Drosophila melanogaster: one gene and its partner. The protein of the gene in region 2 purifies or fractionates together with the protein of the main gene of each other region. This does not show direct contact. Each region holds a gene or a part of one and is shown on either strand. Other genes may lie near its edges.

What was found. Proteins that work in one complex are often made in the same cells at the same time.
Region 1: the proteins of Sin3A (region 2) and Brms1 purify together in Drosophila melanogaster (affinity purification with mass spectrometry, with the first as the bait; 2 studies listed by BioGRID). This does not show direct contact.

The regions. Positions count from the first base shown.
Region 1 is NC_004354.4:12,905,495-12,912,195, reverse strand, and holds Brms1 (BRMS1 transcriptional repressor), read left to right. Parts: upstream 1-2,573; 5' UTR 2,574-2,758; coding exon 2,759-2,948; intron 2,949-3,015; coding exon 3,016-3,260; intron 3,261-3,507; coding exon 3,508-3,852; 3' UTR 3,853-4,210; downstream 4,211-6,701. Other genes in the region: CG4645 (uncharacterized protein), read right to left, coding at 487-783, 1,080-1,172, 1,237-1,443, 1,508-1,993; mRpL49 (mitochondrial ribosomal protein L49), read right to left, coding at 4,405-4,887, 4,952-5,008; CG4404 (uncharacterized protein), read left to right, coding at 6,415-6,583.
Region 2 is NT_033778.4:12,584,630-12,592,309, reverse strand, and holds the start of Sin3A (Sin3A), read left to right. Parts: upstream 1-3,157; 5' UTR 3,158-3,594; intron 3,595-6,237; 5' UTR 6,238-6,598; coding exon 6,599-7,055; intron 7,056-7,126; coding exon 7,127-7,680.

The DNA of each region.
Region 1 (6,701 bases), on a different chromosome or scaffold from region 2:
AAAAGTATAATGGTTTTGTTTTACCCAAAGAGAATGCCAGCAAAATTATGCACATCTTTTGATTTATAAATTATATTCAAATAGCCAGCAAATGCCCAAGTGAAAACTCATTTTGGTTATACTTTCGATTATATTTACACTTTTTCTTTTAATGATGGCATGATTAACATATTCTTCTGTCTTTCCTAAATATTTCGAAAAATTTATTTAATTTTCTACTACTCCAGCGAAAAGTTCTAGCGATTCTTTTGTTTCTGTGTTGATATTTTTGTTATATTTATGTTTTCTTTTTTTTTTTGGTATTACACGTACATCTACCTTTAAGATAATATGAATATACAGTCGCGAAAAAGTTATTGAAAGTGAATACAAACCACGAAGCTGGAACCAACGTGATCAGCTCTCTAGCGAATATAAAAATAGGGACAACTTAATTTACAGCTTAGTTCAGCGACGTTGACGAACTGGTTTCTCGCGGAATGCATCCTAGTGGGTCTGATTGCCGGGCACTGCGTTGACAACCGCCTGCGTCACGGCTTTCAGAGCAGCCGGAGCAGCAGGTGCAGCTGGTGTCGGAGCAACTGGATCCAGCGACGGGACTGTGGGATTGTGAAAGAAATAGAGCAGAAATCCGGCGGCCAGCACCACATGTGCACTCAGGATTCCAACGATGAGGAACAGCGAGAATTGCGAGTTGCGCAGCGCTGGCGTTAGCACCGCAATCAAAACCGTGCCCGAAAGCAAGGCGGCGGTGATCACCAGGAGCCACTGCAGCAGAGAGATCTGCAAAAGATTGGGGTAAACATGTGGCAATTAGAAGGTAGAAAATATATAAGTTCCTATAAACTATGCATAATGTCTGCTCAGGTGGAAAACTAATGAAGATAGCAAACCAGATTACTGTTTAAAACTTTGAAATATCATTGAATCTGGCATTAAAGTTAGCATGAGATAGTTCAAAAGTTGCAGTAAAATGAGCAGTACAGATATAGTCAAGACACGCAATAAAAATAAGCTAATAGCAAGCATTCAAGCAAAATCTTCTGCCGAATCACAAAATTTATAGAGAATTATCTTACATTGATCACCCAGAGAATGGAGACTGGTATATAAATGGCCAAACTGTATCCATAGATGCACATCAGCGACAAGAGGCTCGGCATGTAGCTGGCCTGCAATAAAAAACCCGAATATGAGCGAGATGGATGGATGGATGGGAATGCCAATGCAACTTACGCTGTCCGTTTCCACGGCATCAGCGGAGTCCACAGGCTTCAGGCTGTACTTGAAGAGGGCCCACAGAACGGCTGGCAAGATATTGGCATACAAGAAGATGGACGTAGCCGCATAGGAGACCAGATGGAAGTTGTAGTGCCATTTGTACGCATCAGTGGCTTGCTGCAAATAGCTGGCAATATTACCACTTATTGCTATGGAAAAGATCTGAAATGCAAATGGAAAGAGTTAGTTCCACTTTTGGAGTTGTTAAAACTTCAAAGCTACCGACCAGGGTGACGGTTATCCAGAAGGGTCCATATAGATCCGGATTCTCGCCGATGTTCATGCGCAGATAGTTGCCAGAGGCCCGTTTGGGTATCATGGAGTTGGCGATTCGCTCGAGCACCATATAGGTGTCCACGTTGAAGAACTGCTGGTAGTACTCGATCGTAAACAGTGATAGTTTCGCACCACCGCCTCCACCGCCGGCGGATCCGTCCAGCGATGAGTTCTGCGGCTGGGAGCCGCCCGAGGATGCAGCTCCGGAGAATCCCTGGGCCGAGGAGGTCATGTCATAGATGAGATCCGCCAGCGGATCGCCGCGTTGACGCTGTGCGTTGGCACCACCACCGCCAACGGAGCCGCCGGAACCAGCAGAGCCACCACCAGAACCACCCGATCCGCCGTGCGTAGGGGAATTGACATTGATTTGGGCCGGGGCACCGCCGCTGTAGTCGCGGAACTGCAACAGGTCATCGGCCATGGGTGTCTCCATTTAGATTTCGGCTCGACTAGATTGGTTTCGTTTTGCTAATTGTAAATATTACACGTATTTTGCACTTGGCCCAAAAAAATATCTGCTGGCAGCGATGGCTTATCGGTTATCGATAGGCGTACGAACATCAGCTGGCGACTGCATTCGTCAGCTAGAGATGGCAGACGGCGGTGGGGCTGAGCAGCCGAAAATGCCTAGATTTGGCTATTTCAAATAAGTCCACAATATTATATGGGAATGAACCATATTTTAAAGATGTATTCCTTTAATCTAAATATCGGAAATTACTTCCATGACCTTCTATTTATAATTTAATTTACGACAGAGTTAATATCATTATTTTTCATCAAACAAAAATATTGTAACATTTTTATATTTAAATAGTTACATGGGTAAATTCCAAATTTATTTTCTCTTATTTTAGTGGTCCAGGTTACTTCAAATTCAATGATACATTAATATTTTAATGTGTTTAACTTAATGAATAATATTTTTCGCAGATTTAGCTATTTTGTAGCCACTCAGCTAGATGCTCCGCTTGCGTTGACCAACACTAAATTGCCCAACACTCTTACGTGCGGTCATACTTTTTTTGATACAGCACACAGTTTAGTGTTTTTCCACAGAGTTTTCCACAGTTTCCACACTCCCCGATTGTCGAAAGCAAACAAAAAAAGATATCGCGCTTATACCGGCGGCCACCTGCAGTCCATTGCCGAATCGGAATACGCCGAGAACAAGGAGAACCGCAAAATCCACTCTGAAATGCCCGTGAAGAATGGCGAATCCGATGGCGAAGGCGACGTTTCTGGCGGAGAATCGGAGCACTCGAATTCCAGCCAGCCACACGACACCTCCGACGAGGAGGAGGCCAACGAATGCGATTCGGATGACTCCTCCGAGTTGGATGCCAGTGAAATAGACCGCCGGCGGGCAGAGCACATCGAGGATTTGCGTAGGAATCAGTACGTACACACTTAACACAAGCCATACTCATCGAGTTTCTTCTTTCCTTGACACAGTGAGCTTGGAGCGCCAATTTAACGAGTTGCGGGAACAGTACTACGTCGAGCGCATCAATCTCATCGAACGACAATTGGCCGAGGTGCGTTCCGGGCGTTCCGAGGAGTTTGTCCAGCCGCAAAAGGAACTGGACAAGAAGTATCGCACCAGGATCGAGGTGGCGGACGTCCTGCGCAAGTACCGACTGCAGAATATCGAGCACAAATACCAGTCCGAGGAACAAGCTGCCGTCCAGCACTTTGAGGTACATAACCAATCTCGATTTTTGGCGCCAAAAATGAGAAGAGCTAATTGGCCACCATATCGTCGCAATTAGATTGGCTTTCGTGTTGATAAGGCACTGGGGGCGACACTGCCAAAGCTAATTACAACACAAAATGTCACTCACTTATAGGCCATATATTAACGATTTAAGACAAATGATGGCTTAACTTAAGCGTAGAAGTAGTTGTTAATGTATCCTCTTGCAACTCACAACTTTTCCGTTGCAGAGCGAGAAACACATGGCATTGGACAATCTGCGCGAGGAGTTCATGGAGCGCATCCGTCGCCTGGAGGAGGATCGCCACAACGTGGACATCTCGTGGGCCGACTGGGGCACCGACAAGCGGCAGAGCAAGGTGCGCGGACCGGGTCGCAAGAAGGCCGTCACCGTCACGGGTCCCTATGTCGTGTACATGCTGCGCGAGGAGGATATCATGGAGGACTGGACGATTATACGCAAGGCCCTCAAGCGATCCTCCTCGTCGGCCACCGCTGCTGGCACAGTTACGCCCACTTCCGGCGTAAGCGTTAGCCTGTCCGGTTTGCCAGCAATGGCAGGAGCTAGCGGATAGCGTTGGGGCGTGGCAGCTGCCGCCTACGCCCACATGACGCGTACCTGACGGCCGCGCCCGAGGAAGCAGCAGCCGTAGACGTTTATGTATCAGTAGTAGCCGTAGCAGAGCCCCCGAACCAGACTTCAAATGCGTTCATCAAAATGGCTAAGCTCCGCCACCCATCCTCACCTCCTTTTCCCGTAGATTTTAGTACGTACGTAGTTTGTACGAGTCCCACTCTCAGAATATTGTGTGTGTGTGTGTGTGTGTGTGTCTCTCCCCTCCCCCATACAGACGATGTATGTAATTTATGCTAAAAGATAAGTGCAAATAAAAGCGAACTGCAGCCAAGTGGGCATGCGTTCAACATAAATTTAATTCGATTGCCTGCGAGTGATTCAATCTCCGGAAGGCCAGCAGTTTTGTTATCCAGACTTGGATACTATGGGTAGGAGGTCACAATGTGGGTAAGCCGCCTTAGGTGAGGCGAGACAGAAGAACACAAATCCCACATGATTTAAATCAACAGAAAAGCTTTTATTGCGGCACAGACGGTTCATTTGTGGACCTTCAGAAGCCCTTCTCCTTGAGATAGTCACGCAGGACGTCCACGTGGTCACCATGGAAGTGTATCTGACCGCTCAGCTCATTGATTCTCGTGGCGCAGACCTTGCCGTTTCGCGACTGCTCCACCACCGCACGCAGATCCTTTTCCAGCGTCCAAATGTCTCCTTGGACGCGTCGCACCACCGTGATCCGGCGCTGGCCACGGAACCTGGTGTGCAGATACACGGGCACCATGTGATTCTTCGTCCTGGCCACATGGTAACCCAGTTCTGAGCCATCCTCCTTTTGTGGCTGCCAGCCGGATGGATATTTTGGCTTCTCCACCGGCTGTGGTACTGTCTTCGCTGGTAGCAAGCGCTCCACAAAACGCCACTCGGGCGGATTGGCCACCACCTCCACTTCAGGATACTTGTCCAGCTCCTGAACTTCGCGGGATGAACGAAAACTGGACATAAGTGCCGGTTGCATGTGTATTTGCCTGGTAAGCTGCGTGAAATAAAAACAGATTTTAGGTGATTTTTTACTGGAATCCTTTGGTTTATCTGCTCACCTGGCTTAGCTTTTGGCAGAGGCCGCTGCCTAGCATCAGTTTGGCGCTTGTTGCCATGTTTTTTGGCTAAAAACTAACAGATTTCCCAAGAAATACAAAAAATAGTTGTTACATATGCACTGGCTGGTTAGTGATGCGCAAATGGTAGCGATAATTGTTTCGATTACTTAACTTGGCTAGAAGCTATCGACTTCGTTTTGTACAAAGCACCGATTTTCAAGCTAAAAAATATTTAAAAATGTAAATAGTCAAAAAATTAGGTGCAATGACAACAGTCAAATATTTAATTAGTTAATTAATTAACATCAGGTTAAATTTGATTTTATTTCGAAACATGGCTTAAATGGCCTATTGCTTAGCGAATTTATCTACTTTTTTCTAAAACTGAGGAAAATTAATCATTTCCGCCCAGTTTTTAGTAAATTTAATTAAATAAACACTATATTATATGATCATGCATTAAACGATCTTGGAATTTAGCTGCACGTACACCATTCAGCTTAATTTCTACAAGCTCAAACATTTTAGCCTAATTTGCGTTTTGTCTTTGATTGCTTTTGTCTTCATCACTTTAGCATCGCATGCAACAAATGCAGCGTGTGACGTCATCGCCAAAGCTTTAATCACACACGCACACACACAGAAGCGCCTGCACACACACAAGCGTTGCAAGTGCGGCATTTGAATTGCTTAGCTTATACAATTTTATTGCAGCTGTTGTTCGCCGTTGAGTTTTTCGATATGCGGTAATCGCGGAGTCATCGGGGTATATCGAAATAGTCGCAAAGTTGTCGATATAATTTTAGTAACCGTTGAAATGTGCAAAAAATACAATTAAAGAGAAATAAACACTTCGATTACGATCACCTTGAGTTTATAGGATTAGTAAATAGTATGAAAAATTGTGTGATCTTTTGATTATCTTTGGGAAATTTCATTATTCGGCGAATAAATATCAATATAAATATATTATTTCTGGTTAGTGTATATAGATGCTGCTCTGTACACCTTTACATTCGATTTATTCAGATGTGCTCCATTGCAATATCCTGCTAATTATGTTTCAGTGTAGATCTTGCTGCCTTTCAGCGGTGTAGGGTATTCGCTGTTCGTGAGACTCAGCGATTGCCACTTGTTGTTGCTGCTGTTTTGTGCCAGCATAAAGTGTTTGCGCTGCAGCTTTTGTTGCTATTTGCTATTTGCAGTTTGCAATTTGCAATTTGCGCGCAGTTTTGGTTGCGCGTTTGCTGCGAGCAGTTGCACTTGCACTTGCAATTCTATTGCCGCGCCCCCTCCCCTTTTTTTCTGTGTCGCCCCCTTTGTTTTGTTTTGCCTCTTTTCGTTCGCGCCCCCCGCCATCTGCACCGTCTGCAGAGCAGCGCTCCTGGAATAACTGCATGTGCGATTCACCGTTCTAGTTGGCGGCGTGCGTGCGTGTGCGAGCGAGCGAGACAGACAGAGGCATGTGCTGGGTCGCAATGGCGCGCAAGGACGATCCCGTTTTCAATGTGCGGTTCGTGCAGTTCGTGGAGAATCAGCCGTGCCTGTGGAACTACACGCATCCGGGCTACAGCAAGAAGGAGGATGTGCAGAGGGCGTGGCAGCAGGTTGCCAACGATATCAAGGACACGGGTAAAAAGGCGGTAAAAAATAAATCGGCAAAAGGCAACGGCGATTTTCCGCCTCAAGCTGCTGCTTCTTCCTCTTCTTCTTCTTCGCCGCCAATTGCGTGCTCATTTCACTGTCCGTG
Region 2 (7,680 bases):
AGTGCGCGCTCTTGTGAGCATGTCGAGTGTTTGTGTGTGTGTGTGTGTGTGAGTGAGTGGGTGCACAGAATAAGTTCGTACCTAACCTCAATTTCCCCCAACTGATTACGCTAGGCGGCACCACAACTTCCAGTGGTATTAATCATTTTAAAATAATGCATTTGCTGCCTTTTTCCTATTAAATATTTTCCTTGGGGGATAGGATATTAAGTTTTCAAGCTGAATCTTGGATTAAAATTTTGCGGTTGTGTATATTTATGGAAATTGCTCTTATCGCCGTTTTGTATATGTACATTAAAAACAAGGTTCCGCCATCTGTTGGCACGTGTACTTGTGTGGCTGAACATATTTAATTATCTTTGCTTTGATAAAATAAACTTAAAAAAAAAGAAAGAAGTGCCTCAGAAAATAAATAAAAATAAGAAAGCAAGGTATTGAGAACAGCAACAACAATGACGCAGTCACGCACACCACGAAGGCAATAAAGCAGCTATGTGTGTGGCTGTCTGAAAGAGGCAGAGCGCGTTTGCCGCGCTCACCTTTTGTTATTGTTGCGTTCAATCGCTCTAGAACTGCCAACTTGTTAGGATGTTGAAATTTTATGCCAGAATAACTTTGTACGCAAAACCATTCTTTTTTCATAGTTATTTCTTGTTTTGTATAAAAAAATGGAAAATTTATTTAATGTGAAAAAGGTTAATAAAAATTATGCAGTCAAAAATAATACAAAAAATACCGCATCAATAAATATTGAAATAATTTTTTTAAACTCAAATTTCGCTTTTAAAATCAGTTGGCAGCTCAATGTACCCTTTTGGTGCTCGCGTATGTGTGATTGTGCACAAGGTGAGCGAGACAGCAGTTTCAGCCTTCAATTTGCGGGTTTACGTTGATTCTAATTAAATAATTCGTTGAAATCGGGCTCACTGCTTCTGTGAGGTCCAATTGTAATGCACACACACAAACACGTTCTCAGTGCTTTCCTCAAATTTTCTTTGTGAAGCGCCTCAAGTTTCGACTGGCTTTTAAGTCTGGTTTGGTTTTGGCTGTTTGAAAACTTGAAAAACAAGTTACTTCTGAACTCAAACTCCCCAGTTTTGGCAGTCTCTCCACACTTCTCTCGATCTTTCTCCCGAGAAAAAAAAAACACTTGCCGCGTCGCCAACCAATTGTTTGCAATTCGCAATTGTATTTTAGCCAGAGGCCAACGAACAAGTCTCTTGAACTTGATGGTCGGAACGAAGTTGAAGTGTATTAGACGTTGAACACTTTTACACATATTTAGTTGTAACTTTTTCAAGCCTTCATCATTATATTATTAAAACTTGAGTGTTAAACTGTATGTTTAAATATACTATGTTATCATTTCAATAAGTATTGAATTAGTAAACAACACTGAAGCCGTTGTGTTCAATCGTGTAAGCCTATTCCCAAATTTATAATCGTTATTTTAATTTAAAAACCTTTTAATTGCTCTTAATTTTGATCCAACACGCATTTTGGCTCACCGGTAAATTTGTGTATAATCTTTTACATAAAGAAGAGGGTTCTCTAATCCTTAAATGGATTTATAGTTTTGATGAGAATTAATACTAAAGTTAAATATTTTATAGTAAAGTTTTCCATTTACTGTGTTGTCAATTTTTTAGGACAAACAAACAATAAATAACAAAAAGTTTTTATCACATTAAATATCATGTGACTCAAGAGAGTTAAAAACATCTGATAATTTGCAGAACACGTACGAATATCAAACTAATTAGTTTTTTTTATAGAAATGGGTCCGTGTGACAGGAACCTCTTTACCACATTTCAGATATCACTTGATCAGCGTCAGTTAATATTTCCTAGTGCCGCATTCCATGACAGATCTGAAATTAGCACAGGAATAATTAGAACATGCTAGACCACCTGGCTTTATTATCAATAGAAAAAAGCATCAATAATACCCAATGGGAGGGCAAACAAACCTTCCTGCGGCGCCTGGAAGTCGGAGAGTTTGGTTTGTGCCATTTTTTTGTTTGGTCCAGGGACTTTGGTGCACCTCGGACATGCGCTGCACCCAGTAGCTAGTTAGTTGCATGTGAACTTTGAACTTTCGAGCTGGAAAGTGGAAGGCGGATTTGCATTTCCTATCGCTGCAGGTGTCTCACAAAGAGAGAGGCTCTCTCGTATCCTCCGCCCCCGCTGCATTTTTTTCATTGCGCAATGAGCGAGACGAATCGATAACTGCAAGGTTTCCATGTTTTAGCAGCTCAACTTTTGCGCGTATACAGATTTTTTGTCTGTATTATTTTATTTTGTGAAGGAGCTGGCCGCCGAATTCAGTTCGATTCGAGATGGGAACATGTGTTTTTATGGTTCCGCCATTGTCATGGTGAGATGCACTTGCTTTTTTTTGTCTTCATATTTTTACTTCCTCTCTCCGCACGCACGCGTCTGTGTGTGAGTGCGCTGGCGAGTGAGGTGGTGGAGGAGTACATGAGTGTGTAAAGTGTAGCCGTGGCAGAGTTGTAGCTCGCTAGTGGTCCGTTTGGTTTCTGATTTTCGGTTTCGTCGATTTCACATATGTACTGCAATGGTCGGCTAAAACGCTCTGCCGACGTCGCTATCTGCTGTATACTCGTTGCGCTTGTGTGGGTGCGCTGCTCTCACACCCGCTCTCTCTCTTTGGCTCAAACAGGGTGTCTTACCCAGATGTTCTGATCATCGTTTCCACCACATGGCTGGGTGACAATGGTACACCCTGTTTTCTAAACAACTTGTTTTCTCTCTTCCCAGCGTTGTTGTTGGTCCTCGCACTTACGTAAGCCTCACGTATTTCGTTTCTTATCCAAATTCTAAGCGCCATTTTGCGACTATTTGCATGCGGTACCGCTCACCGCTAATAAAAATAACCACTGATTGTGATTATTTGCTAATAGGTAATGAATGGTATATAAACTATTTTTGCCGTCAGCTACTGATGTGTTTTCAACGCGCTCGACGGAGGATTTTAGTTGTTGCGCCGTTGAGTTGCCACCCTGTTTTAGCTGCGGCAGCAGAATAAAATGAATTCCAAAGCAACACTGCGCGCGCGCTCTCACGCTCTCCGTTTTACACTCATTTCGCTCTCTCTGCTGACTCCAAATGACTGGCCGTCGCGTTTCGCTGTTTTAATCGAAAATGTTTGCGGCGGCGTTGAGATGTACGAAAACGTTCTCTCGCCAAAAATTTGTGAATAGAATAGCAGTAGCAATCTATCGAGAAGAAAATGTCTTAAATTCGAGCCGTGTGATCTAGTTAAGGTCTTAGAGCCAAGTGCAAATTGATTGAAATAAGCGTTAAACTTAAACTGAACTGGAGAACGAAGCCCCAGCTACTGAAAGAAAAGAAAACGGTGAAAATAAAGATTTCGGTGTGCCAGTGAGTGCGAATATAGTAGTTGCATGTGCAAAATACTGCGTAAAACGTGAAAGTTTCCAATAACACCACAAAACCAACGGCAGTTTTGTAGTAAATATACATACGCGCCCCGTACATATATACATACATTTCGAATATACATACACACAGCCGAATATCAACCGACGAAGCTAACTGCTTATTGCTGATGTAAGTGTAATATGGGCGGTGGGCGGTTGTGGGGGGCGTGAAAATTGCAGAGTAGCATTATCCTTCAAGTGCACTTGGAGTGCGGATTCGAGTTCAAACAATATTTTCGTTCGTGCCACTGAAAACTTGTGAAAATACAACATTTTTAGGTTAGGTCAATTTCAATTGGTTTATATACACACGCACGCACAAACTCACACACACACAAACAACAATGGCATAGCGAATACATATAGAAGGCGCACAGACAAAAAGTCGTCGACGGGGACGTGGTTGTTGTTTGTGTTGCTGCTGCTGCTGCCTCTACAGTTTCTGCTCTCCTCACACACAGTTGAACACAGTTGTGGAGAGGAGAGCCACACTCATACATACGCTTTGAACCATTGCTTTTGGTTCGCTTATGAACTGACTGTATTTTTTCAACGTAGTGTCGTTTTATTTTCGTTGTTGATTCGTTCTTTGCTCAGTTCGTGCGCTTATCTTGACTTTTGCTTTGATGCGCCATTCGCATGTACTGGCGAGAGCAGCCTAGTGTGAGTGTGCATTTAAATGGCTCCCCAATGAGAGCATCATTTTGTGGCCCTCTTTTTGTTCAGATCTTCCTTTTGCTCCTCTTCTTCATGCTCCCCAGCCCATCCGTCGTTTGTTGTTCTTGCTCCGCCTGTTTTTTTTCATTCGGTTTTGAATTTACACAAAACGTTTGCCGTTGCTTCTTCATGCTGAAATAGTATATATGTATGTGAATATATTGTACATATTTCTCTACACATCCATATGTTTTATTTGCAAAATTTATTAATAGCGCAGCGCCACTCCGCGGCTGTGTTAGTGCGCCAGAGTGAGAAAGTAACAGTAAAAAACTAAATATTAATTCGCGTTGATTCCGATTCGTATTGCAGTTGTTCAAAACCGAGTGCTAGTGATATTTGCAAAAAATTTAACATATTTTCCGCTGGCTGCCTTTTGTGTTGCGTATTCTGCTGTGCTGTGTATACACATAACAAAACAGATAAGATAACATTATACGTGTGCACGTAATAGAGCGGGCTGAATCAAAAAAAAAAAAAAAGAAAAAATGGAGGGAAAATTTGCCCACATGTCTCCCCAAAGCACACACACGCACACAACGCCCCAATTTGGAGCCTCTCTCGTCAAACACTCACACACACCAGCAAGCGAGTAAATGTGTTTGGTATGCACTAATGGCGGATCCAAAAATACAATAACAACAAAGACAGTTGGGAGAGCTCAAAAGAGCGAACTTGTTTTACCTTCATTTATTAAAGGATAGTTGGTGGTGGCAGAGACAGGAGAGAGAACGAGGGCTAAAGCTTTTGTGCGGCTGTACTGTGCTCCAATATTTGTTTACAAATGCTAAAAGGGGGCAGCTGTTGGTTCGATGGGGTGTTTCAATTAGTTGGAGCAGGATGATCCTCTAGGCGGTTTCCATTCACCTAATATTTGCTCGCGGTCTTTGGTTTGCGCAGCGTTGCGCTCTCTTCATTTTTGCCGCTCTCTCTCTCGAATGCCCGCCAAATGCTTGCTGTGTCCGTGTGTGAGTTTGGCCCCAAACGGGTGAAATACCTTTTTGAAAAAAAAAAAATCATCCATATACTGCGCCTCAACAACAAATGCGGCTCTCTCTGGTTCTCTCTGTGGCTGCACCACCACCACCGTATCGCCACCACCACCTTTGCATTGTTGCGTTTGCTGCTGCTGTTACCTCTGACTCTTCTTCTTCTTATTCTTGTAAGTTGTAGATACAGAACATGTACCAGCAGCTCTCACACACCACCCGCCCGCCCCCTTGGCGGTATCGATATATAAATATTTTCTATGTGTGCGTCTGAATTCTATGCAAGCCGATGTCGTGCATGGGGCATTTGGCACCTTCCACATTCACAAATACTGATATGTACACACATACACACACACTCGGAGGTGTACACAGAAAGCTCGCTTAGGAAGTTTTTACTGTACCGCTGAAAGCAATAACAAAGCGCGCGCCCAATTCCGGTTGAACGTACACACACTAAAGTGAATTACGCGCTCCTCCTTATGCCTTGCACTCACTCTCCTCCAAGACTCAACTTCCACTCCACGATCTCCTTCCCGTCTATATGTATCAATCTCTGGTTGCTGTTGTTGTTATTGGTCACAGCTCCACTGCTTCATTCCATTCCTATTGTCCCTCATCTCACTCTTCTCCCCCGAATCCAGAACACCCAATACAGAGACACCGTTCTCCACTCTGTAGTTTTTGTGATACGGCTAAAAGAAGAATTCCCCCGTGGCTTTTTAGTTCACCTTTTTTCTTGTTGAAATATGCAATCGTTCCGATATCTGTGAAGATATAGACCGAATTGATCAATCAGCTGTGCTATACTAGCTAACATGTTTTGGGAAAATTAGCAAGACTCGTGGTCTTTAATATATGGAAAAGTATATTTGGCATATTTGTCCTTTCATTTCAGTGTCAGTGAATAAATTCTAGTATTAATGTGTAAGATTGTTCCAGTAATGCAGAATTTAATGATGACTAACTTCATTAAAAATAGACCCAAACCTAATTCTTGGGGGTTTTTATACATTTAATGTCGACATTATTGTATGACCGTTTCCCTTCTCTTGCTTTGCTTGCAGTGATATTCAGAAAGAACTCCAAACGCTACGTGGCAGAGGCGAATCACCGGCGCAGCAACACCAGCAGCAGATAACCAGCCGTCAGTCCAATTTCTCTACCTTAGAACTCGAGCGCATTTGCCGCTTGCGGGGCGACCAAATGCATAGACAACATATGTCGCATTCACGAGCAGTCCAAGATCAAGAGTTGCGACCCCGACCGTTTGTTGCATATTACATACGCTCATAGAGGGCGGCCACTCACCTAGAGCAGCCAGAGTCCTTGCACTTGGGCAGGGATCCAGGGAGCAACAAAGTGCTTAGAAAGAAGAAGCAGCAGCACAGGATTATACGCTCCGCCGAGGACAGAGCAACAAAAAAGATGATGAAACGCACTCGCGTAGACGAGGTGCAATTTGGCACACGACCCGTTCCTCAGACCTCCGGAGGTGTGGGCGTTGGTGTCGTCGGCGTAACTGGAGGTGGGCCAACATCCGGCGGCGGTGGCACTGCTACTGTGGGCGTCAATACGACGGGCGTTACCATTGGTACCGTCGTGCCCAGTGCTCATAACGCCACCATCAGCGGGATCGGTTCCATTCACCATCGCATCCTTACTCCACAGCATGGAGGAGCACAAACCATTGCCTATTTGCCGTCCACCACGCCGACGGCTACGAATTTGAAGACCACAACCTCGATTGTGGATAGCACTACCGCTGGAGGACCAGTAGGAGCAGGAGCACAGGTGGCCGTAGGAGTTGGCTCTGCAGCCGGCGGAGGAGGCGTGGTGGTCTCCACAGGGAGCACGGGAACGCAAACATTACAGTATACAACATGTAAGTAATCTATTTCAAACTCTGATGAAATACGTTTGACATTCAAATGATTTATTTTCTTGATCATATAGCTTATAGTGTGGCTTCGATACAGGCTGGTGGAACTCTGAAAGCCAACACAGCGGATGGCGCGAACACGGTACAGATTCATGTCACAGGAGGAGGAGCTGCAAACAATCCTGCCAGTGCACAGACTGTTTCCAGCAGCTCACAAACGGGCACAATCCGTCAGCGTACAATCAGCGGCACCCAGACAGTGGCCACTGCAGTGGGTAATCTAGCCACGATTTCCCAGCAACAACCGGTTCAACAATCACCTTTGGGCAAGGCCCAAACGCCTCCATCGTCCGTGGTTGCCAACAGTATCCCAGTGGGTGGAACCACCCCACCACAAGGACAGTCGGGAAATGCCACGCCACGCTTAAAAGTGGAGGATGCGTTGAGCTACCTGGACCAAGTAAAGTACCAGTATGCAGACCAGCCGCAAATCTACAACAACTTCCTCGACATAATGAAGGAATTCAAGTCGCACTGCATCGACACACCCGGAGTGATTGAGCGAGTCTCCACACTCTTCAAGGGGCACACAGAGCTGATATACGGCTTCAACATGTTCTTACCGCCG